2 linked regions of the Sus scrofa genome follow. The protein of the gene in region 1 interacts with the protein of each later gene in a pairwise test. Links are inferred from orthologs where the notes say so. Each region holds a gene or a part of one and is shown in the gene's direction. Other genes may lie near its edges.

What was found.
Region 2: the proteins of CCDC172 (region 1) and HDDC3 interact in binary tests that used the Homo sapiens proteins (3 or more experiments, as listed by UniProt). The two-hybrid records come from large-scale screens. The link is inferred for Sus scrofa from reciprocal best matches to the Homo sapiens genes CCDC172 and HDDC3.

The regions. Positions count from the first base shown.
Region 1 is NC_010456.5:126,546,140-126,552,641, forward strand, and holds the start of CCDC172 (coiled-coil domain-containing protein 172), read left to right. Parts: upstream 1-2,972; 5' UTR 2,973-3,325; intron 3,326-3,482; 5' UTR 3,483-3,547; coding exon 3,548-3,626; intron 3,627-3,818; coding exon 3,819-3,904; intron 3,905-6,502.
Region 2 is NC_010449.5:53,524,188-53,530,123, reverse strand, and holds HDDC3 (guanosine-3',5'-bis(diphosphate) 3'-pyrophosphohydrolase MESH1), read left to right. Parts: upstream 1-2,233; 5' UTR 2,234-2,248; coding exon 2,249-2,360; intron 2,361-2,666; coding exon 2,667-2,722; intron 2,723-2,823; coding exon 2,824-3,064; coding exon of another isoform or gene 3,065-3,090; exon of another isoform or gene 3,091-3,106; intron 3,107-3,359; coding exon 3,360-3,490; 3' UTR 3,491-4,140; downstream 4,141-5,936. UniProt on the Homo sapiens protein: ppGpp hydrolyzing enzyme involved in starvation response.

The DNA.
Region 1 (6,502 bases):
AAGTCTTCCCAGATCACCTACCTCAGACTTATCTTTTTCTGCCATATTTCCCTAGCACCAGCGTGAAGCTCTGGTACACTGCCCACTAAGGGTTACTTGTGCAACTACGTCCCATTCGACAGATTATGACCTACAGGAGGGCACAGCCTGTATCTTTCAATTTTGTATCACCCGTAGTACCTAACCAGATTTTACACTTAGTAGATACTCAATAAATGGTTGTTAAACTTGGTTGAACCCACATTTTTTTTCTTTGTTGGCAGATGCCCTAAGAAAATCATAAAAGAAATGAATTACTTTTCTTCTTTTCATTGCAATATATATGCCCTGGGCTAGTGGGTATTTGCAAGCCTGGTTTAGGACTTAGGGAAGTCATCAATCTAAGAAAGGAAAGGAAATGCATTTTAAATCACAAGAGCAATATAGACTTATATAAGGCCTTCTAGCAAAGCAATTATCAATGGCTCAATAACCCAGGTGCTAGTGTTATTATGAACAAAAATCTGAAGTTGAGAGACAGTGAGTGATCTCAACTTTTATATTCCATAGGTATGCAATTCAATGAAACATGTACAGATGGAAAGTTTAAATCTGAGAATCATATGTGGGTATCATAATGCAAATAATTGGCTTTCTTTCTAAAGAACATCTGTTGAAACATCTGAAAGCAGTTGTTTATACTGCTGCCAAAATACTGAAAAATATAATAATTCTCCACTGAGGTTTGAAATATCTGGGGGAAGGAAAATACTTTTTATGTAGTTCTGTTTTTATTAAATCCTGTTGTTGTTTCTCTAATATGGCACATAGGAGATGCTCAATAATATTTGTTGAATGAATAACAGAGACTCATTAAACAGTTGTTGAATGAATCGTTTCTCTTTTTTTAGACTTGTAAGATACATTTTCAGAAAATAGAATGCCCTAGTTTTACCATGTCATATACCATTTTTATTTGGCATAAATTTAGGTAATGCTACTCTTGCTCTGAACATTATAGAATGGAATCAGCATGTATATCCACAATAAAAAAATCTTAACTCTATGGGAAATGTATGAATAAAGCTAGATATATGATAGGAATATTTTAATATCTTACTATGTTACTTTTACTCATAATTATGAAACACATAAAATTTGAATTATGAGCTTGCATAATCATGTTTGCTTCAATAAATAAAATTAATAAAACCCTTCTAATGCCTACAATTGTGGTACTTCTACGAAAACTCAAACTTGGGATTTAAAAGCACCAAAGTATTTTGGGATGTGAAGAAGACTACAGAAGATGAAGAAGGCATTTTTCCCCACACCTCTTTCCCAGATTTCTAGCAGCCTTCTCTTCCATATTCCTGTGTGAGAGAGGTGACTGGGCTCCTTAAAGTCTGCCCAAATTTCACTCTGCCAAGTTTCAGTACAGAAAGATCATGTTAAATAATAAATGTGAGTACAAGTATAACTAATAAAATTGGAATGTTAAAGAGAAGCATGCTTTTGAAAACCAGCTTCCTTGTGAGGGTGCTCCCTATGCACGTCCACAGGAAATAATTCTGAAGGGAGTGGTATTAATTAGTAATATAATTTATCTTTGGAAGCCCTTTCCTTTGATGGCTGCTGTGGCACAGTTCATAAGCCTCCAAACGAGTGCTCGAAGAAAAGGGCTCAACCACAATTTTAGCTTTGTTTTCCATCCTTGAACAGATAACAGAGTCAAATTTATTTCAATATATCTAAATTTTACACAGGCATCCATATGATGGAGGATTATGAAGTTATAAAAATGCATTCATGAAGAGTTTTCAATGAAATGGTAAAATGCTTGTGAAGTAATAAGAGGGGAAAAGAGCAGAATCCAAAATTAAATTCATGGTCTCTGATCTCAGATTTCTTGATTTCAGATCTTGCTCTGCCACCTACTAGATATGCAGCTTTGGCAAGATATGTGCCTGTTTCCTCAATTATTCTATGAAGGTTGTAGTAAAAATCATCTCAAAAGGATTGGTATCTGGCAAATACTCAATAAATAACAACAATTATTATTACTTCATCACAATATATTTGTAAAGAAAAAAATGCAAGGTGAGGAAGATTACTTAAAGAACAATAATCAAAATGTTATTAATATTTGCTTCTGAATGGGCAATTTATGGGCAATTCTTTTCTACTTCATTACACTTTTCAGTATGTATTCTTTCACAATAAAGTTTAAAAATTAAGTTTTCTGTATACATGGCTTGACAGAAATTTAAGAGGAAATTTGAAAAGGTTAACATTTCTAACTGATTATGCTACAGCATTAATAAAATATTAATTAAGTTTATTATACTGATGTGACAGAATTTATATTTATCTTTTTTTTGCTTAATACTAAATACATTTTAAAAGTTTAGCCAATGTCAATTTAACATTAAGATACAAAGTCAAATGTTTATTATACTCTTAATATTTTGTTCTGTTAAAACTAAAAGTATTTTATTTTTTAATTTAAAAAAATCCCATATCAAAGTCCCAAAGGTGCCTTTCATGTTTAAGCTTTAATTAGCAACCACTTTGGTCTCTGACACATATTGCGCAGATACTGTAGTGTTAATATTACTGCAGCTTGATTACAAAAGGCAATGATTAATTTTAAAGCAGACAAAAAAGATCTGCCCTGATTACAAAGGAATGATTAAGGCGAATGTCAGACACTGCACATTTATAGCAATCTTTCCCATCGTCAAAGGATAAGACTTTGCAAAAGTCTATATTTAGAATCACAGGTACTTTGTACTTTATAATCCTGGGTTTGATCCTTGGAGACAGATCACCCCAACTCCAAGCTCGGCCTAAGACCTTTGAGGACCACATGGCCACAGCAAAGCAAAGCAAAGCAAAGCAAAGCAAAGCAAAGCAAAGCAAAGCAAAGCAAAGCAAAGCAAAGCAAAAGACGCGAATGCGCAGTGGACCCAACCGGACGCCGTAGTTTCAGTTCCCATCTGCTCCGGCCAGCTTGAGGCGCTGTCCGCGGGCTTCTGCGAGGTCTGCAGCCCACAGTATAATTACAAGTACAGGTTTTGCTAAGAGGTGGAGTATTTTGAGGACCTTTTCCCTAAAAGGGAGGGGGCTGAAAGGAAAAGGCGGACCACAGAAAGGGCTGCCGTCCAGACCACTCCGAAGCCGAGGCCTTAGGGCCTCCATTTTTTTTGCCGCCAGAATAAAGAAACCCGTCCAGGCTCCTGGGCCTCGGCGGAGGAGGGCTGCGCTCAGTCCCGGGAAGTAGCAGTTTGAGACAGGTCACAGGCGAAACGAGGGCGCCGGGGAGAAAAAAGCGGATTTGTCCCTCGTAAGAGATGAACCGGGGGCTGGGAGCACGTTTCGAGGCGCTGGGAGCTTCCCGTCAGCCCGCGTGGGGCCCGCCCTTGGCGAGGGCAGGGCGCAGGTCGCGCGAGGCCCAGCTAGGCATTGTCCTGGAATAATCCTTTATTGTGCTTTCTTTCCAGGATCCTCAGACTCGGTTATAAAATATTTAAGAGTGAAAAAGGGATTGGCGGGTGCCCGGCCCGAGATGAGTCTGGAGTCCTTGTTTCAGCACATCATCTTCTCTGAGCACCGGGCGGAGGAGAGTCGCCGCTTGCTGCGAGAAGGTCGGGCGTTTGCCTGGGGCCCTGGGTCTTCTTGGGTTGGGGGCTTGGAGCAGAAAGAAATGCCCAGGCCGCGGACAGAGCAGGGGGTCTGCTTTCCACGTCGAGGGGAAGACAGCTGCAAGGTGTCTTATCACAAGCCCTGAAATGGGGACTCCAGAAAGATGGATGGATGTTTAAGCATTTGTTTTACAGTGAGGTCGGAGATAAACAGATGTCGTGAAAATATTAAGAAAGCGGCAGAGGAGCTGAATGAAGAGAAAATCAAGTTGGAATCTAAGGTAGTAACATACACAGCATGCTCATTATCACTTGAAAAAGTGTTTTCACTCGACTTTTGGAGGATACTTTACTGTTTAACTAATTGTCCTTCCATTATTATTATTGTTTTTTTAATAGGAAGCGTGCTACCATGCCAGTTAGTGTAGTTACATGTTGTCTGGTAATAAAGTTCTGAATCCAGAACTTCCATCCTAACAAGAATTTGTGCTAAAGAAACCAGTTTAAGTAAAGAATTCATTGTGTTGCAGCATGATTAACGTTTCAGAAGAGCACAATGCCATTGGGAAAAGAATAATTCAATAAGTAGTTGGTAAGGGATATAAATTTTGAGTGATAAATAATTTAAGAAGTGTGCTGTGTTGATGTAACAGTTGAATGTAACTTTCCGATGAGTGTCTGCCTTTTGTTTTTCAACTCTCTACCACATTTTGGACATGTCTTTCATCCAAAAGGATAATTTTCCCACTAGCGTTTCACACTTGGCTGCAGCATTTGTAAAGATCTGTTATTTGAAATAGAAGCAAAGGAATCAGATGACTTCTTGAGGGAGGATTTTGAAGTGTGGGTAGGATTTAGGAGAGTGGTAGGTGAAAAGCATTTGAAGCAGGGGGAGAATGTGAACCAAAGGGAGACATGGCTGAGGCATATTGGGAGAGAAATCTCCCAAAGCAGAGGGCTGATATCTGGAAATAGGAGGAAACCATTGTAGGTTTTTGATCAGGGAATGGTGTGATAAAAGTGGCTTTAGGAAGCTCTCTCTGAGCTCTGGGAGAATGGGAACTAAGAACATCATCCAAATATGTCACAATAAAGGCCTCACTATGGGTAGGGGCAGACTGTCATACAAAAATATTTATTCAACTCCTAAAGATAAACTCTGCTGCAGTGTGCAATGGGAAATCTGTTTGAGAAAGTCTCTTTGCTAAAATAAGTCAAATCGACTTACCACTGTGAGAAATTTTCTGTTCTCTTTTTGTTTAAAATAATCATAGATTCTTTCTCCACCTGGCAGGCTTCTTCTCTTCTTCCTTTCAAGACTTGTTTCAACTTCACCATGAGCCCTCCCTTGTACATCTTGGAAAAATTTTTTATCATAGCATTCGGGGTACCACAACTAAACAGTACATACTTGTGTTCATATCCCTTATTATCTTGTGAGCAATATATTTGGATTTTTTAATTTTTATTTTATTTTTTGGCCATGGCTATAGCATGCGGATATTCCCTGGCCAGGGATTGAACCTGTACCACAGCAGTGACAACACTAGATCCTTAACCCACTGAGCCACCAGGGAACTCCTAGAATTTTTTTTTTTAACCATTAATTTTATTCCTACAGCCTGTATTCAGTGCCTAGCACATAGTATACATTAGTGTTTTGAATAAATTAATGAGTACTCATAGGGAGATAATATGGAGAGTGTTGTCTTTTAAAATAGAATTTGGAAATATTATTCAGTGAAACTCTTGGTCCTGTTTTGCCTGTGAGTAGCAGATAAACTAGCTGCTACCAGCAACACTGAAAGCTTATGGCATGAAGAAAGCATTAAGAATGTTATGATTTAGCTTAAATTTTTCCTTAAAAAGAATTAAGATACTTTCGGGATTGGAAACTATAAATTAGTATAATAGGCAAAACATATGCAATGAGGTAATGTATAGCTAACACTTATTGAGCACTTACTGTATGCTGGGCACTGTTCTAAATGCTTTACTTGTATTAATTCCTTTAATCCTGCCAGGAATCCTGTGATGAGGTATCATCATTAATCCCCTTTTTGAAGGCAGGAAAATGAGAGGTTAAATGACTTATCCATGGTATATAATTTTAAACAAACTACAGGAATCAAAGTAATAATTGAATGATGACAGCATATTTTATTAAAGCAGTTTTTTTGAGCTCATCTTAAACTTTTTTCTCTGTGAAATTCACATATACTAGTGTATCTGAAGCTTTTGCCTCTGGTCTAGGGCAATATTTTTTAAAGTTTACTTATGTAAGTTTTCGTACAGATGTATTTTTCCTGGACTGGCGAAGATATTGACCTGGCAGATAACAAATGTTAAAAAAATTTTACTCTTTGAATATCTTCTTTGAAAAAAGTAGATTTACTGTTGGTAATATTTTCTTGGTTAGCAGCCTATTTTGCTGAAAATGGAAATGTAATTTGCTGATATATACACATGCATGCAAGAGTTGATTCACTGTTTATTCTTGAGAGAAGACAGAGCAAATCCCTAGCATTGTTTAGAAACATATGCTGGAATTATAATTAATATAGGCTCATAAATGTGCATTGCTTTTTAATCAGCTCATATATGTGGGTAGCAAAGCAATTGTTGTTTTACTAATAAAATTAACTCATGAGGTTCACAGTTCGTACAGTACTAATTTGCAATTGGAATAACTTGATTTATGATATAGTCAACATGGAGTATGTGTGTGTGTGTATGTGTATATAAATATTTTAAAAGTAGAGTCACAGTTACAATGTAAATGACTAATGGGAAGAACTGAACAAGTAATCATAAATTGATTTCTTGTTTCTTTTATTCTTAGAGTTAATTATATGTCTGCCAATAACAATGAAAATATA
Region 2 (5,936 bases), on another chromosome or scaffold:
GTTCTTACCTGAGGATGGGAGGAGGTTCTAGGGCGGACAGATTGACCTGGTACAAGGCCTCAAATTCAGCCCGGGTGCAGCAGGAGCCGCCTGCAGCCAGCAGGTGGCAGCAGTAGGCTTCCTCTGGGGTATCCGTGAGCCGGGGACAGAAGAAACCCGAGTAGCGACGGCCATCAGCATCCCAGGAGGTCTGGCACAAGTGGGGGTAGTGGACCAAGGCTGAAGAGAGGGCAAGAGGGCTGGAGACAAGCAGCAATGATCTACCTACACCCCACTCCACCTCTTTCGGCGAGTGAAAGGGATCAGTCACTATCAGATGGGCAGGCTTCTTCCCTCCCAACCAGCTGCCCAGAGTAGCCCGTACCCTGCTAAAAGAGTGGGGTAACCAGCAGGGTGGTGAGCAGAGAGTACAGTACCTGAGAGAGAGGTCGGCTGGGCAAGCGTTGTCCAGCTGAAGAGCAGCAGTAGCCCCGTCGACAGGCCTGTCAGCAAAGAGCCTGGCCTCTTCTGAAAGCCCATGAGAGGTCACCTCCACCTTAGCCCTGGTCCTAGAAACCCCAACATCTCTATTTCTAAGCCCTGGCTTCAGACAGAGAGGAAATAAAAATCAAAGCCCCAAAGCACCATTAACACAAACCTGAAGCTTCTCTGTCACAGAACTCTAGAGAGAGATGAAAGTGACTTTCTATCTTCTGTTGGAAAATGCAGGGACTGTGGCTCCAAGCTGACAGGCTGAAGGGGAAAAGGCTCAGAATGAAGAATGAAAGAGAAGTTGAGCCGTTAGCCTGAAAAATAGACAAACAATTAGAACCATATATGTTTTCTCTCCACTCTCTCTCAATTTTCAGGCGGCAGTGGACGCCCTGAGAATTGATTGTTCCATTTCACGCCCCAGAGACCTTAGTTCCAGCATTGGGAGCCTCCCTCCCTAATATCTGCATCGTGGCAACCACCAAGACTAGCTGAAAACCAAGGGCGAGTGCTTTCACTAACTTTTCCCCTGAGCCCTCATCTGCCCCAGCTACCAGCCAAAGTACAAAAGCTTCCAGTATGACTGGAGGGAGTATACTTAGCAACCAGCCAACCCCATATCACAAGGAATGCTCTTCCAATGTCCCTAGGTCTGTCTTGGCCCTCATACATCATAGATGCTGTCTGCTGAGACATGGGATTTCTCCAGAAGGCCAAAGGCTCCCAGCAAACAGTGTTGTGTTGTTCTACTGAGGCCTGACAATGCCATGCTCCCAGAACAGCAGAAGCAACACTCCAGGGGCCTGGCCCAGTGGCTGGGGACTGAAATAGGAACCCTTATGGCACAAGAAACAAATGCAAATTTTTGTTCCCAGCACTTGAGAGCAAAGAAGACAGTTCCTGCAGAAACAGCACTGCTATTTAGACATAGGCCTGGGAGCCTAAGTCTGAAGTAATTAGGGAGGGAGTTCTCCCAGTGTAGGCCCCAATTTCCAGAAGGTCAGGTCCTAAGGCCTTCTGGCCCAAAGGTGAAGTTCCCATGCCCATAGCAACCAGGCCATCCTTGCAGGGAAAACTTTTTTTTTTTTTTTTTTTTGTCTTTTTAGGGCTCCAACCACGGCATATGGAAGTTCCCAAGCTAGGGGTTGAATCAGAGATACAGCTGCTGGCCTAGGCCACAGCCACAGTGACGTGGGATCCAAGCCACTTCTTCCACCTACACCACAGCTCACGGCAATACTGGATCCTTAACCCACTGAGCGAGGCCAGGGATTGAACCCGCATCCTCACAGATACTAGTCGGATTCGTTTCTGCTGAGCCACAACAGGAACTCCCAGGGAAAACAATTTTTAGAGAGCTTTGAGAATTTTCAGAGCCCTGACAGGTTGAAGATTATCTTTTCATGGCGGGAGAGGCCCAGTCCTGGGAGAAGCCGTCCCTGGCCGGGAGGCTAGGTGAATTGGCCTTCCTCCAAATTTTCATTGTCCCCTGCCTTCCTGCCCTGGACACACTTTGAGGCCACAGTCTTATACCTTGTCTGTTTTCCTCCTTCCCTTAGGCTCTGGGCTCCCAGAAGGCCAGGCTATATTATTCTGGCACCCTCAGCAGAGCGCCCTTAAGCAGGGGCTGAGATGCCTCCCACACCCACTTCTCCTTGCCCAGGATGTCAGCCCCAGAAGAACCCTGGCTCAGACTCCGCAATCCTCGGGCCTCCGCGGCGCCAGGGGGCGCTGTCCACGCCTGGTCCACGTTCCCCGGACCGAAGTCCCCCGCGCGATGGGTTCCGAGGTGGCCCAGCTGCTGGAGGCTGCCGACTTCGCGGCTCGCAAGCACCAGCGACAGCGGCGGAAGGACCCCGAAGGAACCCCTTACATCAACCACCCTATCGGTGGGCGCGCCGCCGGAGGAGCAACGGCAGCAGCTTCTAGGGAGTGGGATCCGGGAAGGGAACGCGGAGGGCGTATACTTCATTGAGCGCCTAGTCTGTACCAAGATTTGTGCCAGGCACTGTTCGTGTTTAAAATTCACAACAGCCGGGGGCGGTAGGCTTGATTGTTCCCTTTGTATGCGAAATAGAGTAAAGAACTTGCCCAAGGTCCCCCAGCTACTGAGGGGCCATATCTGGCTCTACAAACCCCACAACGTGCCGCCCTGGTGACTCCCTCCTGTCTGACTTCCTGCTTTGCCCCGTCAGGTGTGGCTCGGATCCTGACCCGTGAGGCGGGAATCACTGACATTGTGGTGTTACAGGTAACTTTCCCCCTTCTCTGCTAGGAGGCTGGGGAGGGGTTCAGGAGCCCCATTCAGCCCTGGGGCTGGCGTCACAGGACTGAATGGAAGCCTGTCCGCAGGCAGCCCTGCTCCATGACACGGTGGAGGACACAGACACCACCCTGGATGAGGTGGAGCTGCACTTTGGGGTACAAGTGCGGCGTCTGGTGGAGGAGGTAACAGATGACAAGACTCTGCCCAAGCTGGAGAGAAAGCAGTTGCAGGTGGAGCAGGCACCCCACAGCAGCCCAGGGGCTAAACTGGTGAAGCTGGCAGACAAGCTGTACAATCTGAGGGACCTGAATCGCTGCACCCCAGAGGGTACGCTCCCCAGCCCCCTGCTCTGAGGGAACCTCTGCACAGGTTGGTTAGTTCCCCTGGGGGAAAAAAAAAAAGTCTGGGTGTTCTTGTTAGTTCCCTAGACCAATCTTACTGGAGCACTCTGATCTTTCACACAGTAGATTCACAGCAACTGGGCCAAGGGGTGGTTTTCAGGACAGATCCTTCCATTAGGAACTCATCTCACAGCCCGGCACCAAACCCCCCAGGAAGTGGGCAAAATACACTACTGTCCTGAACGTCAACATGAGCAGTTTTTTGTCCATTCTTAATGCAGGATGGTCTGAGCGTCGAGTCCAGGAATACTTTGAGTGGGCAGCACAGGTGGTGAAGGGGCTTCAGGGGACAAACCAACAGCTGGAAGAGGCTCTAAAGCAGCTGTTTAAGGAGCGGGGACTGACAGTCTGAGCAGTACTAGGAGCCATCCGATGGTACAGACTCCATCCCTTTGCCCAGGCCAGAGAAGAGTCATGGTCCAGCCTTTCAGTGCCTCCTGAGCTCCCTCCTGGCTTTGCTCAGCCCAGATATTAGATCATAAAATACTTGTCTTTTCTCACTCTGAAGATGTCCTGCCAATGAAACTGAGCCCAGGTTGAAGGATGATGCACCCTGTCCTTTTTTTTTTTTTTTTTTTTTTTTGCTTTTGCTTTTTAGGGCTGCATGTTTAGCACATGTAAGTTCTCAGGCTAGTGGTGGAATTGGAGCTGTAGCTGCCAGCCTACTCCACAGCCACAGCAACATGGGATCTGAGCCTCATCTGCAACCTACACCACAGCTCACAGCAATGGGGGATCCTTAACCCACTGAGCAAGGCCAGGGTATTGAACCCACAACCTCATGGTTACTAGTCATATATGAACCTGCATCCTCCTAAATACTAGTCGGAGCCACAACAGAAAGTCCCACCCTGTCCATTCCTAATGCCGTCAATGTCCTCCTGGCCTTGGGTCTGTTTCTTGTTTTGCCTGATGGGCTATCAGGCCCCTCAGGGACTTGGGCTTATATATATATAAATGTTAGTTGGAAAGTCATTATGCAAAATAAAGCCTTTAGATAAAGCTTTGTGTCTGTGCTGCTCCTTCTCCTGCCTCCCCAGTGGGGAACCAGCAGGGCAGGGTTTCAATATGCATGAGGCCTCGACCCCTCAATTGCCAGGGTTGGATTACTTGACATGCCTGATGGGCCCTGAGATTTAGGTGCTCAAAACCTGGTAGACGTCCTGGGTGGAGAGGCGTGCTAGCCTGCTTACTGACAGCTCTTCTGAGCCCAGCAGCAACGTGATAGGGCCGTTGAGGGGCTGCGGGTCCCTCATAGTCCCGGTTGCAGTGTAAACTTGCCAAGGTTTGCAGCCATCCCTAGGCTCATCCCTGGTTTTGTTGGTTACTAAGCGATAGGAATTTCTGGATGCCTGAGGAAGTCCGCCCCCGGACCTGACCCACCTTTGGAGACAGGCGGTAGGCGGGGTCTGGGAGGTGGGCGGAGCTCCTCAAGGCGTCCCAGCGGAAGGATCAAGGAGTGTTGGTGGGGTTTTGGTAGCTGCTGAGCAGCTGAGGCTAGTAACCCACTTGGAAAGGGTAAATCTTGGAGGTTGAGGAGGTTATTAGCTAAAAGGTGATGTTTTACAAACCCCTTCAGGTGTTACCTCATCTGTTCTTTATAATAACTGGATGAGATAGGCAGGATGGGGATTGTTCCCATTTTACAGAGATGAAATAGAAAGCTCGGAGAGGTGATCAAATAGACGGAACGAACAGTGACAGAATCGGGACCAGAATTCCTCTCTGTTTTGGCCATAGCGCTGGGTGTTTTTTTTTTTTGTCTTTTTTAGGACCACACCCGCGGCATATAGAAAGAAGTTCCCAGGCTAACAATCAGAGCTGTAGCCCCCAGCCTACCCAGGGCCACAGCAACACAGGATCCGAACCACGTCTGCAACCTACACTACAGCTCACCGCAGGCCGGATCCTTACTCCATGAAGCCGAGTCCTCAGGGATGCTAGTCAGGTTAACTGCTGAGCCACGACAAGAACACCTGCTGGGCCTTTTTCACCAGACTAGAATGACCACAACTGAAGTTAGCTCCAACCACACTGGACATAGTAAAAGTCTTAAGAAGCTAGTGGATCTGGATTATAAGTATGAGGCCTTCCCAGATAACCTGTTTGATCTGAGCCAATATAGTGGATTTTTTTATTCAATATCAGAATTTAAAAAGTTATTTATTTAAATCAGAAATTTATGGAAAGATCAGAAGTACAACCTAAGTAACCTTTTTCCCTGAACCACTCAAGGTTAACTTGCTAAACTGAGGCCCTATCACCCCTAAATACTTAAGTATTTAAACAAAGAAATTCTCCTATATAAACCAAACTATAACCATCAACATCAGGAAATTAATGTTATTACTATCTTAAGTCTCTGACGATAGAAGTCTGCACAATTTACAGCTGTTATATTAGAAATATGAGCCAAGGAGTTCCCGTCGTGGCGCAGTGGTTAACGAATCTGACTAGGAACCATGAGGTTGCGGGTTCGATCCCCGGCCTTGCTCAGTGGGTTAACGATCCGGCGTTGCCGTGAGCTGTGGTGTAGGTCACAGACGCGGCTCGGATCCCGCGTTGCTGTGGCTCTGGCGTAGGCTGGTGGCTACAGCTCCGATTCGACCCCTAGCCTGGGAACCTCCATATGCCGCGGGAGCGGCCCAAGAAATAGCAACAACAACAAAAAAAGACAAAAGACAAAAAAAAAAAAAAATTAAAAAAAAAATTAAAAATAAAATAAAATTAAAAAAAAAAAAAAAGAAATATGAGCCAAGAATCTGCCAGATTTCTGGGTTTTCTTCCCCCCACCCCCC